Linked DNA regions of Anolis sagrei. The protein of the gene in region 2 purifies or fractionates together with the protein of the main gene of each other region. This does not show direct contact. Links are inferred from orthologs where the notes say so. Each region holds a gene or a part of one and is shown on either strand. Other genes may lie near its edges. The genes, in order: CHD1L, RNF146 and PARP2.

Region 1 (6,931 bases), on a different chromosome or scaffold from region 2:
CACCACCCCTATTCCCAGATAGTAAGAATACTTTCCCAGTTGAGCAAATAAGAATATACAGTTCTGCTTTTTTGACATCCAAAATCTGATGTTTGGATAACTGCTCAATCTGCTTAAATGCAAACCCAACTCTACATGTATTCATGGACAAAAGATTATTCCTATCCAGCACAGCTAATAGCAAAAAATGTTGGGGAAGCATCTAGGGCACCAGCTCTCAAATCATGGAACTCTTCAGAAGACATTTATGTTCTGTAGAACCCTAACTCTATCAGCAATTTGTTTAAAATCTCTCTCTCTCTCCCTCTCTCTCTCTCTCTATATATATATATATTATGCCAATTCACATACTTCTCTCAATTTCTGATATCGAGTTTTGGAGAAAATTTTACTCTTTGATATTTTATGAATAACATCCCAATATTCTAAACATCTTTAATCTCAAAAACTGTACCTGAAAGAAAAATTCACAAAAAGGCGTGTGGGAGCAATGTGAAAAATCATTTACGTGTGCATCACTCTTGTTCAGATGGCAAATGTTGAACTGGGTAGCCAGTAACTACATTACTGATAACAATAGCTGTAGTCCAAAAAAAGCTCTTACGGGGAGTCTAAATTAAACAGTTAGCCTCGTGTGGTTTTATTTTAAAATCTGTTTTAAATTTTATTTTAAAGATTTTTATGGAACCTATACAATGCTTTTGAGGAGCCCTAGGGTTTTGTGGACATGCTGATCTAGGGGCTGGTCAACAATTAAAAATACCAGGTTTTTCTACAGAAGGAGGGAGAGATATACCTGGCAAGTCTTCCCAAGGCCCATTTCATCACCCAGGATGCAGCCACGCCACGTTCCATAGCAATGTGTCAACCAGTTCACACCTTCCAGCTGATACGGATGGAGATGGATGCCTTGAGTGAAGAAAAAAGAGAGAAAAAGAACCACATACATGGAAAGGGTTGCATCAATCTGATGGGTAAAGGCTGGAACTTTGGTGTTGCTCTAGGATTTCCTTCTCAATCTTTCCCTCTAAAATCATACCATTTAGGTCTCTTCCACAATGCCATATAATTCAGATTATCAAAGCAGATAACTGGATTGCTTTGAACTGGATTGTATCGGTCTACACTGCCATATAATCCCATCCAAGGCAGATCATCTGGATTTTATATAGCAATGTACATGAGTCTACACTGCCACATAATCCAGTTCAATGCAGATAATCTGGATTTTGTATGGCAGTATAGAAGGGACTTTACAATTATGGCAGCTTGACTCCAATTCAACTGCTATGGCTGAATCCTATGCAATCACATGAGTCTGAAGCCAAGAAAAAACAGTGGATCAAGCTGATAACAGAAGTCGACATGGGCAGGAGCAGTCAGAAGGCGGGAGGCTGCTAAAACAGTTGAGCAATGATCCCTCACAAACTAATACTCATGCCAACATAAAGGCAGATCAGATAGCGCATCAACTTCTGAAGAATGGGAAACCCAACCTTGCCACCAAAGTAGGAAGGAAACAAACAGACAACAAGAAAATGAGAACAACAACCTTCATGAACCTTTTACATCTACTGAACTGGACACGGCCTTCAATAAATGCAAAAATGGCAAAGAAGCTGGCCTGGATGATCTACGGATGGAACAAATTAAGAACTTTGATGCACAAAAACAAGGTGCTGGCTGCTGGAGCTGTTGAACAACTTGCATTGCATCCTGTCAGATCCACAAAATCTGGAGGAAAGCAAGAGTCATAGCCATCTTGAAAACAGGCAAAGACCACAATGATCTAAAAAGCTATCAACCAATCTCCTTACTGTGTCATCTTTACAAAGTTCTGGAGAGACTTATTTTGCATAGAATTATGGAAAACATAGAACAATGTCTGATTCCACAGCAAGCTGGTTTCAGGGAGGGCAAAAGCTGCACATCACAAGTGCTGAACCCGACTCAGTACATAGAAGACGGTTTTGAAAGGCAGCAGATTACAGGAGTTGTCTTCAGCAGCCTATGACATTGTAAATCAATGCCTTCTCCTGAGGAAAATGTATAATATCACAAAGGACTACCACCTCAAAGAGAGTTTCATCTATGCTGAAGATTGTGCCATCACCGCTCAAGAGAAGCTTTGAGATGGTTGAACAGAAGCTCTCCAAAATTTTAGGTGCTCTTACTACCTATTACAGGCAAAACCAGCTGATTCCCAACCCATCTCAGACACAGAGGTGTGATTTTCATCTTAAGAACAGACAAACATCTCAAGTTCTGAGGATTACTTGGGAAGGAATTCCACTGGAGCATTGCAGTGCACCCAAATACCTGGGAGTCACCCTGGACTGTTCTCTGACCTACAAGAAGCACTGCCTGAATATCAAGCAAAAAGTGGGTGCTAGAAACAATATCATACAAAAGCTGACTGGCACAACCTGAGGATCACAACCAGACACAGTGAAGACATCTGCCCTTGCGCTATGCTACTCTGCTGCGGAGTATGTATGCCCAGTGTGGAACACATCTCACCACGCTCAAACAGAATGCAAAGTGTTTTCTCAAATACATTGGTTCGCTCCTGATATGATAAATCAAATACGTAAGTTTGACAAGATCTTTAGCTTCTCTGCCAAAAAATGCTACGGATTCATCGAAGTACAAATTCCAGGGTTCCATAGCATTGAGCCATGGCAGTTGAAGTGGCATCGAATTCTACAATGTAGATGCTGCCATGGCCTATAAAATACCAGGCCTGATTTCCTGTTATAGTTGTTTATTTGCGTAGTATCTGTTCTGAGAGCCAGGCGTACTTACCGGTCAGACCCCATCGGTTTAAATGGGCCTCCTCGACCCCTGCGCCTGCTTGGCTGGATCTGCTCCTGTCTGCCACAGCCCGGAAGAAGAGGGACATCCCTTCCTGCCCCTCAAGCGAGCGAGCGAGCGAGCGACCCTTCAGGCGACACGAGGTCCAGCTCGGCTTGCTTCTCCGAGGTCCCTCGACTTTCTAAAGCGGCTTCCGGAAGGAAAGAAACAGGCTCACGCCCATTGGTTGATGGGTAGAAGCGTCTCTTTGTGATTGGCCAGGATTGCGACGGTCAGTTTCCGCTGCCGCCGCCGCGTCTTTCCCGCTTTTTCGCGTCTTTTCCTTTTGGGAATTGGGAGTGCGAATGATCCTGGAGCATGGCGCTTCGCCAGTTAATGGGGTCTCAAACTGTGTTAATCTTCTATATATATATATATATGCTCTGTGCATAATGAGTACCTTGAAAACAAAGGAACCCATGAACGAAATCACACTAAATTTGGCAACAAAACGTTTCAGAACACAAGGAATGACCATCACGCAAAAAGTTATGATTTTGCCATTTGGGAGCTGTAGTTGCTGGGATTTATAGTTCACCTACAATCAAAGAGCATTCTGAACTCCACCAACGATGGGATTGAACCAAACTTGGGGGGGGGGGGATTGAAATTCTCAGGGTGACAAAATTAATTTTTTTTGTGTGCCACGATTTGAGCATTATTAGCCTGAGTCTTTTATAGGAAAAATCTGTTGATGTAGTCCCATAAAAGTTGTAAATTAATGATACATGTCTTCCATCCTGGATCCATCCCAGTTTCCTGGCCAGATGTTTACTCTTCTTGATTGGTGTTGATCTTATGTTGACTTCCTTCTTAACATAAGGAAAGTTGCAAACATTTCCGTTATCACTGTCCCAGTTCTTATCACAACTTCTCATTAGCAAGTCCAGCAAGCAGGTAGATAGTCATTGCAGGCCTTAATATTATACTGGTGTTTCCAAAATTATTAGCTCAATTCATACAACCTTCCATTCTTCCATTCATTCCCACACATCATTATTAAATTTACATTTATCAAATTTGCACACTGAATTTCTTATTACAGACTAATCAATAAAAACATATGGAGTTGGGTGTTTTGGATTTCAACTCCCACAATTCCTAACAGCCGGTAGGGCCGAAGTTTGCTCATGGCTTGGTTAGGGGCACAGGACCCCTGTGAGAAACGATATATGGAGGACTGGCTGTATGTTCCATCTCCTACACTCCCTGGTCCAGTGGTTCTCAACCTGTGGGTCCCCAGGTGTTTTGGCCTACAACTTCCAGAAATTCCAGTCAGTTTACCAACTGTTAGGATTTCTGGGAGTTGAAGGCTAAAACATCTGGGGACCCACAGGTTGGGAACCACTGCGGGCAGGCCCGTAGCCAGGATTTCGATTCGGGGGGGGGGGCTGAGTCTGAGTGAAAGAGGGTCTACCCTAGCAAACCTTTTGTATCGTTACCCCAATACCCCCATGCATATGAGATATATTGAGCATGGTGATCAGATCATGATATGAATAAACATAACAGTTTAAATAATATACCAGTAAGGCCTTTTCGCAAATCACCATGAGAATTTGGGGGGGGGGGGGAGGGGGGGCTGAAACCCCCCATGCCCCCTCCCCGGCTACATGCCTGGTTTTGGAGTTATGTTAATCACACGAATGAACATTACTTATTTATTTATATATTATTATTTTGTGCATATGTACCTGTCACTCTACCCCCGCCCCCCCCGCTTTCATCTTGTAATTTAATCCCATTTTACCATACTTATTATTTCATAAAATTTTATTGTGTTTTAATTTATTTTAGTTAACTATTACAGAAGTTTTAGGATAGTGATTAGTGTTTATTTGTCTGTGTTTTTTTTTTGTCTTTTATTGTTGTTATGGTTGGTGGACTAATCAATAAAAACATATGGAGTTAGGTGTTTTGGATTTCAACTGGCTGCCAATTTGCTACCAGCCACAATTCAAAGTGCTGGCTTTAGCCTTTAAAGCCCTAAACGGTTCTGGCCCGACCTACCTGTCCGAACGCATCTCCTCCTATGAACCAGTTAGGACATTAAGATCGTCTGGGGAGGCCCTGCTCTCGATCCCGCCGGCTTCACAAGCACCCCTGGTGGGGACGAGAGACAGGGCCTTCTCAGTGGTGGCCCCTCGGCTGTGGAACGCCCTTCCTGCAGATATTAGATCAACCCCCTCCTTGCTGGCATTCCGAAGGAAAGTAAGGACCTGGCTGTTTGAACAGGCATTCGACTAAGCAGTGTGATTGATTGACTGATTATCGGAACACGGAATAATGGATAACGAGTTTGGATTCTGATTTCATTGATGAGACCTGATGGATTTGTTATATTGATGTACTGATGTATTGATGCTGATGTCTAATGATTTGTGAAGCTATTGCTTTTAAATGCCTAATGATTTTGTATTGTGTATACCGAAACTGTTGTAAACTGCTCTGAGTTGCCTAAGGGCTGAGAAGAGCGGTATACAAATAAAGTAAATAAATAAATAAACTCCCACAATTCCTAACAGCCGGTAGGGCCGAAGTTTGCTCATGGCTGGGTTAGGGGCACAGGACCCCTGTGAGAAACGACATATGGAGGACTGGCTGTACGCTCCATCTCCTACACTCCCAGTGGTTCTCAACCTGTGGGTCCCCAGGTGTTTTGGCCTACAACTCCCAGAAATCCCACCCAGTTTACCAGCTGTTAGGATTTCTGGGAGTTGAAGGCTAAAACATTTGGGGACCCACAGGCTGAGAACCACTGCGGGCCTGGCCCATAGAGAGGTACCCGAGCATTTCCAGCGGTGCCCCAAAGGAAGGCCCCTTTAATTGTGAAGGAGGAGCACGTGAGCAGGAGGGGGCAGGCTGGATGTGCACCTGCCGCACACGCGCGCTCCTCGGCACGCGCCGCCCGCGAGCGCCTCCATCCCCCCCCCCCCCCCTATTGCACTCGTGAGCGGGACGCAGCGCCATCCCTTTTCTGGCAGAAGCTCGGCCCCTGTGAGGCCAGGCCAGACCAGCCCCGGCCCCGCCTCCGGAGGGCTAACGAGCTTGGCGCTGGCCACTCTGCCCTGAGGCCGCGATGGAGGCAGAGGAGGGGGGTTGCTGCCTGCTGCTCAGGGCGGCGTGGGGAGCGGCGCTGGCGCTGGCCTTCTTCCTGGGCTTCTTGCGGAGGGCCACGGGGGCGCCGGGCACAACTTTCCATCGGCGGGAGCACGGCCGGAGCCAGGCAGCCCAGAAGGGGCCGCCCGCCGACGCGGTAAAGAGAACCGGGCGGAGGGGGGGGGGGGAGGCATTCGAGGCGCGCCTCCATTGAGCCGCGGATTTGGGGGCGCAAGGAAGGCGGGGCAGTACTAGGCTCCGCTTTGGTCTACTGCTACCGCTTTCGCTTTCACAGCGGGACTGGCTTCCACAGGGCTGGGTCCCGCTTGATTTGAGGCGACCGAAAAAGACCTCGTGACGTGGTTGCAAAACGTCTCTTTTTTTTCTCAAAGCATTTGAGAATGATTGTGACTGCGTTCAAATCCGGGGTGAGCACCCGTCTGCCAGCTCCGGCTCCCCATGCGGGGACATGAGAGAAGCCTCCCACAGGATGGTAACACATCCGGGCGTCCCTTGGGGAACGTCCTTGCAGACGGCCAATTCTCTCACACCAGAAACGACTTGCAGTTTCTCAAGTCGCTCCTGACATGAAAAAAAATGTGTCCCCAGTTAACAAAGGGCACATTTGGCTGTTACTTTGTAAACACTCCAGTTGAGTCTACATTGCCATATAATTCAGTTTCAGAATGCAGGTTAACCTCAGTGAACTATATCTATATAAAAATGCTCTGCACATAATGAGTACCATAAAAACAAAAGAACCAATGAACGAAATCACACCACACCAAATTTGGCCACAAGTGTCAGACAAAACTTGTCACTACACAAGGAGTTACCATCACTCAAAAAATTATGATTTTGTCATTTGGGATTTATAGTTCAACTATAATCAAAGAGCATTCTGGACTCCACCAACGATGGAATTGAACCAAACTTGGCACACAGAACTCCCATGACCAACAGAAAACACTAGAATGGT
Region 2 (7,578 bases):
AGTTTGCAATAAAGCTTTCTAATTATATTGTAAACAGCAACCCACCCAAGGGAAAGTTACCATCCTGTTTTTTGTTTTTAAATGCCATACAGCTATAAAATGCAAGACAATCTCTCACCAAATTCAGAACAAGACAATCTCCCACCAAAGTCACCTTCTTTTTCTAACCTCTCAAGATTTGGTGTGTTGTGATTATTACACATGCCCTCCCCGCCTCAAACAAATAAAGGGTGGGGGAGGGGAGAGAAAGACCGTGAATAGGAGGCAGAAAACTGACTCAAGCCCTAGAAACAAGTGCTCGTGACAGCCAAGAACACTGCTGTCCCTGCCTCATCTTCCACTCCATCCAGAAAAATAAGACAAAAATTCCCCCACGCACCTCCACCGCAGGAAGGTCAGCCTCTGGTGCAAGGCTGGCATTTGGAGCAGGGCAGCGAGGAAGAAGGTGGTTACATTAATTCTCTATTAATATTCAGTTTCTGTAGGTTTTTTGACTGCATTGTTCTTTTTAAAACTGAACTGCTCTGAAACCCAATTTTGAGGGGAAAGCTGGATATAACAAAGTATAAAAACATGATAATAATAATAATAATAATAATAAAGTAATAATAACCTAATTCTGTTTTAATATTCACTTCAGGTAGACTTTTCCTTGCATTGGTATTTTTAAAAGCCACTTTGAATCCTAATTTGATGGGGAACGTAAAAGTATGTAGAACAAAATATTGCAATAAATGTATTATTATTAATGATTAGTCGCTAGTTATATATACCCAGCCCCTAGGTTGCTAGATAATACACTATTTGCACTATTCCTTGCCCGGCCCTTGCCCATCTTAGAAATCCAATCATTAGTTTTGTTGAATGCGGTCCAATGGAGCTCCAATGCAATCTGTTTTATTATGTTAGGTTTAGTGTATTTTATCTTGGTTGTTGTATTTATGATGCACCAATTTATTGTGTTTTATTTTATAGATTGTCTTGCTTTTATGTTTTATGTTTGTGGACTTTTGCCCCATATGTAAGCCGCCCTGAGTCCCTTCGGGGAGATGGTGGCGGTGTACAAGAACAAAGTTATTATTATTAACAGTGTAATTTTGTTTTAATATTCACTGTGTAGGTGTTTGATTGCATTGTGGCTGCATTGTGAGCCACTCTGAATCCCAATTCCGAGGAGGAAAGCAGGCTGTAAATAAGTATAATAACAAAATAATAACATAATAAATATAGCAATGTCCTCCCTGGTGGCACAGTGGGTTTAACGCTAGGCTGCTGAACTTGCTGACTGAAAGGTTGGTGGTTCGAATACTGGGAGCAGAGTGAGCTCCTACTGTTAGGCCCAGCTTCTGCCAATCTAGCAGTTTGAAAACATAAGCACAATTCAAAGTGCTGGTCTTAACCTATAAATCCCTATATGGTTCCGGCCCAGTTTACCTGTCTGAACATATTCTCCCTTATGAACCATCAAGGATGTTAAGATCTTCCGGAGAGGCCCTGCTCTTGGTTCCACCACCTTCGCAAGCGCGATTGGTGGGAACGAGAGACAGGGCCTTCTTGGTGGTGGCCCCTCGACTATGGAACTCTCTCCCGAGTGAGGTGAGATCTGCCCCCTCCCTCTTGTCCTTCAGGAGGCTAGTGAAATCCTGGTTATGGAATGAAGCATTCCCAGAATAATGGCTGAGACTGGTTACAGACCAAAGTGCGTGACCACATATGTGGACTGAGTTGAACATGATTTTACCCTGGTGATTTGGTATATATGTATTTTATCTATATGTATTTTAATCTTATATTGTATGATGTTTTAACTTGTATTAGTGGCATTGAATCCTTGCTGTAAGCCGGTCTGAGTCCCTCTATGGAGGTGAGAAGATCGGGATATAAAAGTTTTAAATAAATAATAAATAGGGACCACTTATGCAGGAAAGGAAAGTAATGGCGCTCCACACAGTCATGCCAGCCACATGACCTTGGAGGTGTCTGTGGACATCGCCGGCTCTTCGTCTTAGAAATGGAGATGAGCACCAACCCCCAGAGCTGGACATGACTAGACTTAATGCCAGGGTAAATATAGCAATAATAATAACAACCTAACTCTAGTTTTAATATCCGCTTCGCATAGGTTTGGATTGCATCGCGCTTTCTTAAATTGAAGTCACTTTGAATTTGGAAGGGAGAGCATGACCAATTATAAAAAAGGATACTATTTTAACTGAATTAATAATATGAGTTGAATGATATAAGATAGATAGATTGCCTAGTTCTATTTTAAAATCCACTTGGAGTATGTTTTGACTGCCCTTTTTTTAAAAAAAAAAGTGAGTCTCTTTGAATCCCAATTTGGAGGGGAACGCAGGCTATTTTTTTTAAAAAAAACCACATAATGCGACAATAATATTACGATGATATAACAATAACAATCATACTCTGCTCCAACAAGTGCCTACAGAATCCTATGGGAGGAATGGGGGAGGCCAGGCTCGCTGGATTGACAAGCGAAACCTTTTCTCTCTCTCTCTCCCCCCCCCCCCTCTCCACTTCCAGCCCGCCTTGGATCCCAAGGCCAGGCGGCAACGGAGGGGGCCTTTGTTCGGCTCCGGAAGGAGAAACGGCTGCGGAGGGGAGGCGGAACTAAGGCAGAAGAGCTGGGGCGCGCGGGAGGGGGGGGAGGGGGAGAGAGAGAGCGCGAGCCCAGGAGGAGGCCCGGCCTCCGAATAAACGTAGAGAGAGAGAGAGCGCCGTCGTCGTCACGCAACCCCTTCCTTCCCTCACTCACCTCCCGCTTCGCTACTCAACCTTCGGCCAGCGGCAGGAGCCGATCTACTGCTCTCCCTCCGCCGTCTCTTTCTCTCTCAGTCTCTCTCTTTCTTTTCCGCCTCCTCCTCCCCCTCCGCTCGGTGATGAGGCTGCGCCGTCCTTCCCTTTCGCCTGCCTTCTCCCTCCGGCTAGCTCTGCCGCGACACAGAGCGCTCGAGCTTCCCCGACGTCATCACGCATTACGGTGGGCGGAGCCAAAGCGGGAAGCGCGGAGCCCAAAACAAAAGGGGCGGGGCGAAGAAGGGGAAGGGGCGGGGCTTCGGTTTGGGAGTAGGCGTGGCTTTGCAGGAAAGGCTCTGCAATTGGGTACTTTAAGGTTCTAGTAAAGAGTAGAGACACTGGCAACAAAGATCCGGCATGGTATTCCCTGTAGTCACCTACGGATGTGAGAGCTGGACCTTAGGGAAGGCTGAGCGAAGGAAGATAGATGCTTTTGAGCTCTGGTGTTGGAGGAAAGTGCTGAGAGTGCCTTGGACTGCGAGAAGATCCAACCAGTCCATCCTCCAGGAAATAAAGCCCGACTGCTCACTGGAGGGAAGGATACTAGAGACAAAGTTGAAGTACTTTGGCCACATCATGAGGAGACAGCAAAGCCTAGAGAAGACAATTATGCTGGGGAAAGTGGAAGGCAAAAGGAAGAGGGGCCGACCAAGGGCAAGATGGATGGATGGCATCCTTGAAGTGACTGGACTGACCTTGATGGAGCTGGGGGTGGTGACGGCCGACAGGGAGCTCTGGCGTGGGCTGGTCCATGAGTCACAAAGAGTCGGAGACAACTGAACGAATGAACAACACCAACAACAAAGGTTCTACACCAGGCATGGGCCAACTTGGGCCCTCCCTCCAGGTGTTTTGGACTTGGACTCCCACCATTGCTAACAGCCTCGAGCCCTTTCCTTTTAAGCCAGTGTTTCACAACCTGGGTATCAAGACCCTGGGGGGGGGGGAGTAATCAAAGACCACCAGGAAACACTATTTTCTGTTCGTCATGGGGGTTCTATGTGGGAAGCCCTGGCCCTTGACCGCTCCAGCTGGAGGTCAGCTGTGACCAGTAGTGCTGCAGAATTTGAAGAGGTACAAATGGAGGGCGAAAGGGAGAAGTGTGCCAAGAGGAACCAACCCCAATCGAGACCACCTTCCACCTGGAAACCAATGCTCTCACTGCGGAAGAAGATGCAGAGCAAGAATAGGGCTCCACAGCCACATACGGACCCACAAGACTATTGGAAGACAATCCTCCTCGGAAAACAAAGGATCGCCTAAGTAAGTCTATGTGGGAAATATGGTCCAATTATATCATTGGTAAGCTTTGATTGTAGGTGAACTATAAATCCCAGCAACCACAACTCTCAACTTTCTCCCACACTCCACCAGTGTCCACATTTGGGCATATTGAGTATGGAATATTTGTGCCAAGTTTGGTCCAGATCCATCATTGTTTGAGTCCACAGTGCTCTCTGGATGTAGGTGAAGTACAACTTCAAAACTCAAGGGCAATGCCCACCAAACCCTTCAAATATTTTCTATTGGTCAAGGGAGTTCTGTGTGCCAAGATTGGTTCAATTTCATCATTGGTGGAGTTCAAAATCCTCTTTGATTGTAGGTGAACTATAAATCCCATCAACTGCAACTCCCAAATGACAAAACCAACCCCACCAGTATTCAAATTTGGGTGTATCGGGTATTTATTGGGTGCCTGTCACTGAAAATACATCTTGCATATCAGATATTTATATTACAATTCATAACAGTAGCAAAATAGCAGTTATGAAGGAGTAACAGCAATAGTTTTATGGTTGGGGGTCACCACAATCTGAGGAACTGTATTAAGGGGTTGCAGCATTAGGAAGGTTGAGAGACACTGTTTTAAGCAACTAAGGGAGAAAAGGAAAGGGCCTGAGGCTGTTAGGAATTGTGGGAACTGAAGTCCCAACCACCTGGAGGGGAGGGCCCAAGTTTGCCCAGCCCTTATCTACACTGTGGAATGAATGCAGTTTGACACCACTCTAATTGCTGTGGTTCAGTGCTATGAAGTCATGGGGAGTAACTTGTAGCTGTGCAAGGTCTTTAGACTTCTCTGCCTAAAAGTTCTCATGCCTCATCAAACTACAACTCCCAGCATTGAGCCACAGCAGTTAAAGTGGTATCACGATGCATTCATTCTACAGTGTAGATGTGCCCTTGGAGCTGGGATCTAAATCAAAATGTGAAATTGATTTCTGTTTCAGGTACACCTTATCCATAGAACCAGAAGGTAATTTTATACACAATATTTTACACAGTTTTGTGCATGACCCAAAATGCTTGGAACCAGAAGTATTTGGATATTTCTTTTAGGAATACCTCACAGAATCTGGAATAAATGTGTGTTATCAGAAGATGAAACTGACAAATCACTTTTTTTTTTGCTTGCCCTTCTCAGGAATATTATGTGTGCTTTCAAGTCACTTATTGACCTCAACAGATTCATCCTCTGATTAGTCAGATTCTTCCTCTGAAATATAGTGTTCAATTGTGATTTCCCATCCAAGTACTAGCAAGGGCTGATCCTGCTTAGTTTCCAACAAGGTTTGGTACCATTTGGGTATTTCAACCATAAATGTATTAAATCATGCTTATTTAATGAGGGTATGAAAAACACATTTCCATAGTTTTTGGCCAAATAGCCTACTCCTGGAATGCTCTGAATTTATTTATTTAGGACATTTATACCCCGTCCTTCTCAACCTCTGAAAAGGGACTCAGGACGGCTTCCAACAGGCAGCTATTTGATGCTGACACATTATAATAATACAATATAAAATACAATTAGAATACATTAAAAACAGTTATAAATATGCATTTAAACAGTTGGCCAGTCCACTAAAACCTTATCTTCACCAGTAAATCAGTCTGTTCTGCAAATGCTTGATCCCAAAGCCAGGATTCGAGTTTCTTCCGGAAGGTCAGGAGAGATGGGGCAGATCTAATCTCATTTGGGAGGGAGATCCACAGCCAAAAGGGCACCACAGAGAAGGGCCTGTCTCTCATCCCCATCAAACATGACTGTGAAGGTGGTGGGACCGAGAGCCTCGCTGGATGATCTTAAGGTCCTTGGGGGTTTGTAGAGGGAGATACGTTGGGACAGGTAAACAGGGCTAGAGCCATTTAGGGTTTTTATAGGTTAAGACCAGCACTTTGAATTGTGCCCAGAAGCTAATAGGCAGCCAGTAGAACTGGCGTAACGAGAGTTGTACGTTCCCTGTACCCTGTGAGCAACCTGGCCGCTGAGCGTTGGACTAGTTGAAGCTTCCGAGCAGTATTCAGAGGCAACCCCACATAGAGTGCATTGCAGTAATCTATTTGGGATGTAACCAGAGCGTGAATGGGATATTTAAGAAGCTAGTATTCATCCTTTTGGACCTGCCTCTATGCCCCTGCTTCTCTTAATCACAATTCAGCTGCCATAGTTGCATAGTCTTTTGCTGGAACAGTATAGCTTTTCATTCAGAACACAAGCTGGTATTATCATATCTGTATTGTGCCAAGAGACCACTTAAATGTGATCTGCCAGCTGGGCAGCCCTTACTGCAGGGTTGCACAGCACAATGTAACAGTCAGCCCTCCATCTCCATGGATTTTGTATCCATCGATTCAACCATTCATTGATAGAAAATATTTAAAATAAATTTTTAAAAAGCCCAAACAAACCTTGATGTTGCCATTTTATGTAAGGCCCTATCTACAGTGAAGTTTAACTGCATTTGACTGCATTATTTATTTATTTGTTTATTTATTTATTTATTTATTTGACTTGTATACCGCCACTCCCAGTTTGGCTCGGAGCGGTTTACAGCAGTAGATCAAAAACAATACACCCAACTTTAAAATACAATAAAAACGAGAACAGACATAGTCCCGAGTTATTCACCCATCGAAAGTTTGTCGGAAAAGAAAGGTTTTACAGGCTTTCCGAAAAGCAAGTAGCTCTCGGATGGTTCGGGTTTCAACTGGCAAGGCATTCCATAAATAAGGGGCTACAATCGAAAAGGCTCTCTGCCTAGTAGAGGACAGATGATAAGTCCAGATGTTGGGGACTTCAAGCAAATTTTGGTCTTCGGACTGAAGTAATCTCTGGGGTTGGTAGAGGGATAAGTGGGCCCTCAGGTACGCCGTCCCCAGACCATATAAGGCCTTAAAGGTTAGTACCAGCACCTTGAAAGTGATCCGGTACTCTATCGGAAGCCAGTGCAGTTGTAGAATTGGGGTGATACGACACCTCGCCGGCACCCCGGCGAGAAGACGAGCCGCCGCATTTTGCACCAGCTTCAGCTTATATGGGTCTACACTGATCATATAATGTAGTTGGGGCCTAAGGGACACTATTTTGTATATCGTGGCTTTGGTATCCATTGGAGGTCCCAATGGGGTGCCAACTATGGCCTTCAAGATGTTGGATTGCAACTCTCAACAATGCTTGCAAACATGGCTAAAGATGATGTCGGGAGTTGCAGTTCTACTTTGTCCACTCCTACCTTAGTGAAGCAGAGAACTGTACTGCTAAGAGAACAAATACTTTAACACGCTTAAATGTACTAATTGCACTCCTGCTCTTTGGCCTAATGACATTAGAAACATTGGCTTTTAAATGTGCTTCATTAATAAATGCGAGGCCCTAACTCTCCAAAGATAATTGCATAAAAGTCTTCTGCTGCAGAGCAAATATAATGATAATTACTGTGTCCCTTCAAGTAGTTTCTAACTTACGGCAACCCTAATGTG
Region 3 (7,155 bases), on a different chromosome or scaffold from region 2:
AAAGTTCTTGTTTATGGAACTAGAATAGAGAGGGTAACATTTTAACCCAAGTATGGCCAAACTTCAGCCGTCCAGGTGTTTTGGACTTCAACTCCCACAATTCCTAACAGCCTACCGGACTGAGGGTTGGTGCTCATCTCTACTTCTAAGCCAAAGAGCCAGAGTTGTCCGTAGATGCCTCCTGGGTCATGTGGCCAGCATGACTGCATGGAGTGCTGTTACCTTCCCACCAGAGTGGTACCTATTGATCTACTCACATTTGCATGTTTTCAAACTGCTAGGTTGGCCGAAGCTGGGCCTAACAGTGGGAGCTCACCCTGCTCTCTGGATTCGAACTGCAACCTTTCGGTCAGCAAGTTCAGTACTCAACAGGTTAACCCACTGCACCACCTGGGGAGCTTATATTATTATTACGCTTATATTATTATTACGCTTATATTATTATTATTATTATTATTATTATTATTATTATTATTATTATCAGGCTAGTTCCCACCAACTAAGCCTGCCTTCTGACTGATCAGGAGCAAGTCTATCCTGTCTGGATTAAGTTTCAACTTGTTTGCCCTCATCCAATCCATTACTGATGACAGACACTGGTTTAGGGTCAGGACAGCTTCCTTATTCTCATTTATGACTTAGATGAAAGGTTAGAAGGCATGATCATCAAGTTTGGAGACGACACCAAACTGGGAGGGATAGCCAATACTCCAGAGGACAGGAGCAGAATTCAAAACAATCTTGACAGTTTAGAGAAATGGGCCAAAACTAACAAAATGAAGTTCAACAGTGACAAATGCAAGATACTCCACTTAGGCAGAAAAAATGAAATGCAACGATACAGAATGGAGGACAATGCCTGGCTCGAGAGCAGTACGTGTGAAAAAGATCTTGGAGTCTTCTGGGGAGGAAGGTGAACATGAGCCAACAATGTGATGTGGCAGCAAAAAAAGCCAAAGGGATTTTGGCCTGCATTAATAGGAGCATAGTGTCTAGATCCAGGGAAGTCATGCTACCCCTCTATTCTGCTTTGGTTAGAACACACACGGAATATTGTGTCCAATTCTGGGCACCACAATTCAGGAGAGATATTGACAAGCTGGAATGTGTCCAGAGGAGGGCGACTAAAATGATCAAGGGTCTGGAGAACAAGCCCTATGAGGAGCACCTTAAAGAGCTGGGCATGTTTAGCCTGAAGAGAAGGCTGAGGGGAGATATGATAGCCATGTATAAATATGTGAGAGGAAGCCACAGGGAGGAGGGAGCAAGCTTGTTTACTGCTTCCCTGGAAACTAGGACGCCATGGAACAATGGCTTCAAACTACAAGAGAGGAGATTCCATCTGAACATGAGGAAGAACTTCCTGACTGTGAGAGCCGTTCAGCAGTGGAACTCTCTGCCCTGGAGTGTGGTGGAGGCTCCTTCTTTGGAAGCTTTTAAACAGAGGCTGGATGGCCATCTGTCAGGGGTGATTTGAATGCAATATTCCTGCTTCTTGGCAGGGGGTTGGACTGGATGGCCCATGAGGTCTCTTCCAACTCTAGGATTCTATTATTCTATATATTTGTCGTGTCATCCGCAACCAGAACATTGTATTACATTTCTAACAGAACAAAACAAGCAAACAGATAAAAAAACCCAAAAAAACACACAAATTTTGAAAACTTGGTAGCTGATTAAATGTCCTTTGCCCAGTATCTGGCCACTAGGAGTGCCTGTGGTGTTGCTGCAAGAAGGTCCTCCATCGTGCATGTAGCAGGGCTCAGGCTGCATTGCAGTAGGTGGTCAGTGGTTTGCTCCTCTCCACACTCGCATGTTGTGGATTCAACTTTGTAGCCCCATTTCTTAAGATTGGCTCTGCATCTCGTGGTGCCAGAGCGCAGTCTGTTCAGTGCCTTCCAAGTCGCCCAGTCTTCTGTGTGCCCAGGGGGGAGTCTCTCATCTGGTATCACCCACGGATTTAGGTGCTGGGTTTGAGCCTGCCACTTTTGGACTCTCGCTTGCTGAGGTGTTCCAGCGAGTGTCTCTGTAGATCTAAGAAAACTATTTCTTGATTTAAGTCATGGACGTGCTGGCTGAAACCCAAACAAGGGATGAGCTGGAGATGTCTCTGCCTTGGTCCTTTCACTATTGGCTGCTACTTCCTGGCGGATGTCAGGTGGTGCAATACCAGCTAAGCAGTGTAATTTCTCCAGTTGTGTAGGGCGCAGATACCCCGTGATAATGCATGTCTCATTAAGAGCCACATCCACTGTTTTAGTGTGGTGAGATGTGTTCCACACTGGGCATGCATACTTAGCAGCAGAGTAGCACAGCGCAAGGGCGGATGTCTTCACTGTATCTGGTTGTGATCCCCAGGTTGTGCCAGTCAGCTTTCGTATGATATTGTTTCTAGCACCCACTTTTTCCTTGATGTTCAGGCAGTGCTTCTTGTATGTCAGAGAACGGTCCAGAGTGACTCCCAGGTATTTGGGTGCGCTGCAATGCTCCAGTGGGATTCCTTCCCAGGTTATCCTCAGAGCTCAGAGCTATTATTCTATGATTCTTGTACAATAGGGACTCATCTGGATATATGTGGCACCACACTCCCACCACACTCCCAAAGTGACCTCACAAAAAACAACACAGCTCAGGCAAAAATACAGATCAGGCATAAACATATTGTTCACCCAACCAACCCATTCCCCCATATGATCAGATTGCAAAAATTGCCCCTTGGAAGAGGGTTATAAACAAATATAACAATAAATAATAACAAAATACAACTCCCATAATTCCACAGCATTGAGTCATGGCAGTTAAAGTGGTGCCAAACTGCATTAATGTTGCCTTAATAAATATATCTACCTTGCTTCGATTTGCACCCTCTCCCTTTTGCAACCTACCCAAGTTCCTGCTGTGCTCTTTGCAACCAATGCTGCAAACTCCGCCCCTTTTCCCCTTCTGCTTCCCTTTGCGCGCGCTCCCGGGAACGTTCTACAGGCCAGCTAGGCCCGCCTCCTCATTTGCATATACATTCGTTTGCATGTGAACTTCTAGGAGGGCGGGAAGATGTAAATTAACCGTATTGCACTATGGACTCAGGCTTCCTAGGCTTGTAAGTGTGTTTGCTTCCCCGCGGTTAAATTTTCCAGGTACAGCATTACAATTCTAAATCCTTTCAAACTGTGTGAAGCATATGCAAAGAAATTTTTAAGAAAGTCGCCCTATCTTGAAATTTATTTCAGACTCATGCTATATATACAGAAGGGATAGCGGGCTTTTCAATCAGGCTGGGAGGAAGCTCTCCGAAGAGGCCACATGCTGAGTGTACGTCACTCCCGTTGCTCCTCTGGGAAGGTCTGAGAGAAGGGCCGCTATTTCCGCCTTAGCAGGGCGCCACCTTCGGAAGGTGGGTGAGTTCCCAGCGATATGGGCCTCCGGCAGCGCCCCAGATTTGAGGCAGGAGAAGCGGGCACAGGATCCACTCCTTCCCGCGGATGCCTCCGCGGCCTGCTTGGGGTTTGGGAACGACTCACGGCCAGCAAATATGAGTACAATGGGCAGAGGTGAAGCCATGGCTTCATAACCCAATTCAGACTAGTCTCCACCCAGCAAATCCTTTTCCCCACTTTATTTAACACTAGCCCTCCCCTGCCACGCATCGCTGTGGCCCAGTCTGGTGATCACAACCAGACACAGTGAAGACATCTGCCCTTGCGCTGAGTATGCATGCCCAGATCTCACCACACTAAAACAGTAGATGTGGCTCTTAATGAGACATGCTGCATTATCACAGGGTGCCTGCCTCCAGCCCCACACCACTGGAGAAATTACACTGCTTAGCCGGTATTGCACCACCTGACATCCGCCGGGAAGTAGCAGCCAATAGTGAAAGGACCAAGGCAGAGACATCTCCAGCTCATCCCCTGTTTGGGTATCAGCCAGCACGTCAACAACTTAAATCTAGAAATATCTACAGAGACACTCGGTGGAACCACCCCAGCAAGCGAGAGTCCAAAAGTGGCAGGCCCAAACCCAGCACCTCAATTCATGGGTGATACCAGATGAGAGACTCCCCCCTGGGCACTCAGAAGACTGGGCGACTTGGAAGGCGCTGAACAGACTGCGCTCTGGCACCACGAGAAGCAGAGCCAATCTTAAGAAATGGGGCTACAAAGTGGAATCCTCAGCATGCGAGTGCGGAGAAGAACAAACCACTGACCACCTGCTGCAATGCAACCTGAGCCCTGACACATGCGCAATGGAGGACCTTCTTGCGGCAACCCCAGAGGCACTCCAAGTGGCCAGATACTGGTCAAAGGATATTTAACCAAATACCAAATCTGCAAAATCTGTGTGTTTTTTTCCCTTTTTTCCCTTTTTCTTTTTAATCTGTGTGTTTGTTTTACTCTGTTAGAATTGTAATACAATGGTTGCTGATGACACGATAAATAAATAACATATAATTGTCCTTGTATAGTCGAAGGCTTTCATAGCCGCAATCACTGGGTTGTTGTAGGTTTTTTCTAGAGGCATTTCCTCCTGACGTTTCGCCTGCATCTATGGCAAGCATCCTCTGAGGTAGTGAGGTCTGTTGGAACTAGGAAAAAGGAATGTGGAATGACCAGGGTGAGACAAAGGACTCTTGTCTGCTGGAGCTAGGTGTGAATGTTTCAACTGACCACCTTGATTAGCATACAATGGTCTGACTGTGCCTGGAGCAAACTTTTGTTGAGAGGTGATTAGATGTCATAGCATAGCATAGATGTCAGCCATAGCAGAGCACCCGATGAACCAACCTGGACACAGCATTTTATTTGAGAACACAGAAATGCTGGACCACTCTCACAACTACCATGTCAGACTACACAGAGAAGCCATTGAAATACACAAGCATGTGGACAATTTCAACAGAAAGGAGGAAACCATGAAAATGAACAAAATCTGGCTACCACTATTAAAAAATTGCAACAGCACAACAACAAAGAGGAAGCAGGCAGGGACATCGAATTACCTCTCAACAAATTGGGTCTTCTTAGGTCCACATCACATGAGCACGTAAGGAAGGAGACAGTCCCAAAAAAAGATTTAAAAACAAGGTTTATTTTAGTTTCTTCATGAACAAGACGGACAGCCTGGCAGCATACGCAGATGCTACCCTTCAAGTGACTGCCGCGCCCCTTTGGCTTTTTTTCCCCCATTAAATCTTTATTGAATTTCCAGTTTACATTTAAAATAGAGATGTGTGGCCAAAGCGCCCCCTTGGCTTTTGTACACCGTTATATACCCTCAAGTAAACAAGAACATTTTTTTTGGTCATGGAAAGTATTCTCTTTCTAGCCCCTCTCCCTTGACCTTTTGATGGAAAGTACCTTCTTGTACCTGCAGGCTCTGCGCTTAACCACAACCTTTGAACTTAACCACAACACAACTTCCTATGTAGGCTTGAACTTTGCATGACCTCTGCATGTCATATCTTGTTTCTTAAAAACATTTTCTTCCGTGTTGCTCTTTTTCTACAGAGAAAGGGTATATTTCTCTTTTGCTGTTAATTTCCTTCAAATCCCCTTGCTTAGCATTTGGAAATTTCACTCAAAGACCTTTTCAGGTGAACTATAAATCCCAGCAACTACAACTCCCAAATGACAAAATCAATCCCCCTCCCAATGCCACCGGTATTTAAATTTGTACGTATTGGGTATTTGTGCTCAATTTTGTGGAGTGAATGAAAATTCATCCTGCATATCAGATATTTACATTACGATCCATAACAGTAGCAAAATTACAGTTATGAAGTAGCAACGAAAATAATTTTATGTTTGGGGGTCATCACAACATGAGGAACTGCATTAAGGGGTCACTGCATTAGGAAGGTTGAGAGCCACTGAATTAAGAAATGCCATTTATAACCCAGGAACAAAAATTGAGTTACATAGTGTTATCAGTCTTGCATTTGCCTCACTTGCTAAGCGGCTTTGTTCCAGTCTTATCCTTTGCTTCGTTTGGGTTTGTTTTACTTCTGCAGTTGGAAGTCTTCCTGAAACATATGAGACAAAGATAAAGCACGGAATGGGGAACTGGTGTTGTTGAAATATGATGTTGGCAGCTGTAAGGGGACATAGTCATAGCAACTGGGGCCTCCCAAGGTGCGTCCGCACTCCAACGAGTAAGAAAATTCGATGTGTCCATAACGTGAATAACAGGTGAGCCCAACGGTGCCTCCTCCGGCCACCAAATTGCCACGACATTTCTGCAGCAGGTCATCATGCCAGACGTCATCGTCCCACAGTTCCACCAGAAAAGGGTTGTGGTCCATCAGCGTCACAGCCCCAAAATCCACAGTTTCAGTCCAGTTGGGGTGGTTGTTGTTCCAGACAACCTTGGTTCGCCTTTCCTGGTCTTGGAAGAAAACCTTGACGTAGGCGTCGGTGGCGGTGAATTGATCGCCCCAAAGGTTGGCACCAGTGGAAATGGTGAAGCTGAGACGTGCCCGGCCTCGTTCCCAGGCACAGCACATGTCATTCACGATGGCATCAGCTTGGCATTTACATGTGCAGCTCTTCTCTGTGTTTTGGGTGCTCCAGGATGGGCAGTCTTGTGGGCAGTCCCTCTTAAGGGCTCTCTGGCTGATATGACCCACAACGGCTCGCTTCAACAAGTCCCTCCTTGGATCTGTTCGGGGCAACAACATATGAAGAGGTAGGAGGGAGAACGAGATCAAACCGGGCTTTGTTTTTGCCGTCTCCATCCATTCTGAAAAGCGCTGGACTTCTCCAGTTTGCGAGAAGAGCATCTCCACTCGCTGGTCTCCTCCCACCACCTCTGTGCGTTGTCCACTGTAGATGTCATAAAAGTTTCCCCAGCCCTTCGCTCCCCAGAGCTCTTGGCACTTGGACTTGAGGGAACTGGATCCAAAGAGCAATTCGTGCCCCAGACTAACCTCCCAATTCAGGCAGTCCTTGATCTTGGAAATGGTGAAACCTGCCAAGGCCATAGTGCAAGTGCGCACAGCTAAGAGGTGGCGCACTCGCCCTCCCAAACGGACGTGGCTGATATAGTGCGTGCCATAGATGTTGATAAACTGCTGGTACTCCTCAAGGTTGGACTTCCTTGGCAGCCTCTCCAGCGCACGAGAGAAGTACTGGGACAGAAGGGGAGGATTCTGGAGCCTTA

Evidence for each region.
Region 1: the proteins of RNF146 (region 2) and CHD1L purify together in Homo sapiens (co-immunoprecipitation; 3 studies listed by BioGRID and IntAct, counting the BioPlex papers as one, with this or other methods). This does not show direct contact. The link is inferred for Anolis sagrei from reciprocal best matches to the Homo sapiens genes RNF146 and CHD1L.
Region 3: the proteins of RNF146 (region 2) and PARP2 purify together in Homo sapiens (affinity purification with mass spectrometry; 4 studies listed by BioGRID and IntAct, counting the BioPlex papers as one, with this or other methods). This does not show direct contact. The link is inferred for Anolis sagrei from reciprocal best matches to the Homo sapiens genes RNF146 and PARP2.

What each region holds. Positions count from the first base shown.
Region 1 is NC_090022.1:166,739,759-166,746,689, forward strand, and holds the start of CHD1L (chromodomain-helicase-DNA-binding protein 1-like), read right to left. Parts: upstream 3,013-6,931; 5' UTR 2,903-3,012; coding exon 2,806-2,902; intron 910-2,805; coding exon 797-909; intron 1-796. Other genes in the region: uncharacterized protein, read left to right, coding at 5,933-6,109. UniProt on the Homo sapiens protein: ATP-dependent chromatin remodeler that mediates chromatin-remodeling following DNA damage.
Region 2 is NC_090021.1:84,808,457-84,816,034, forward strand, and holds the start of RNF146 (E3 ubiquitin-protein ligase RNF146), read right to left. Parts: upstream 3,009-7,578; 5' UTR 2,777-3,008; intron 1-2,776. UniProt on the Homo sapiens protein: E3 ubiquitin-protein ligase that specifically binds poly-ADP-ribosylated (PARsylated) proteins and mediates their ubiquitination and subsequent degradation. May regulate many important biological processes, such as cell survival and DNA damage response.
Region 3 is NC_090026.1:13,338,817-13,345,971, reverse strand, and holds the start of PARP2 (poly [ADP-ribose] polymerase 2), read right to left. Parts: upstream 3,005-7,155; 5' UTR 2,848-3,004; intron 1-2,847. Other genes in the region: perforin-1-like, read right to left, coding at 5,996-7,155. UniProt on the Homo sapiens protein: Poly-ADP-ribosyltransferase that mediates poly-ADP-ribosylation of proteins and plays a key role in DNA repair.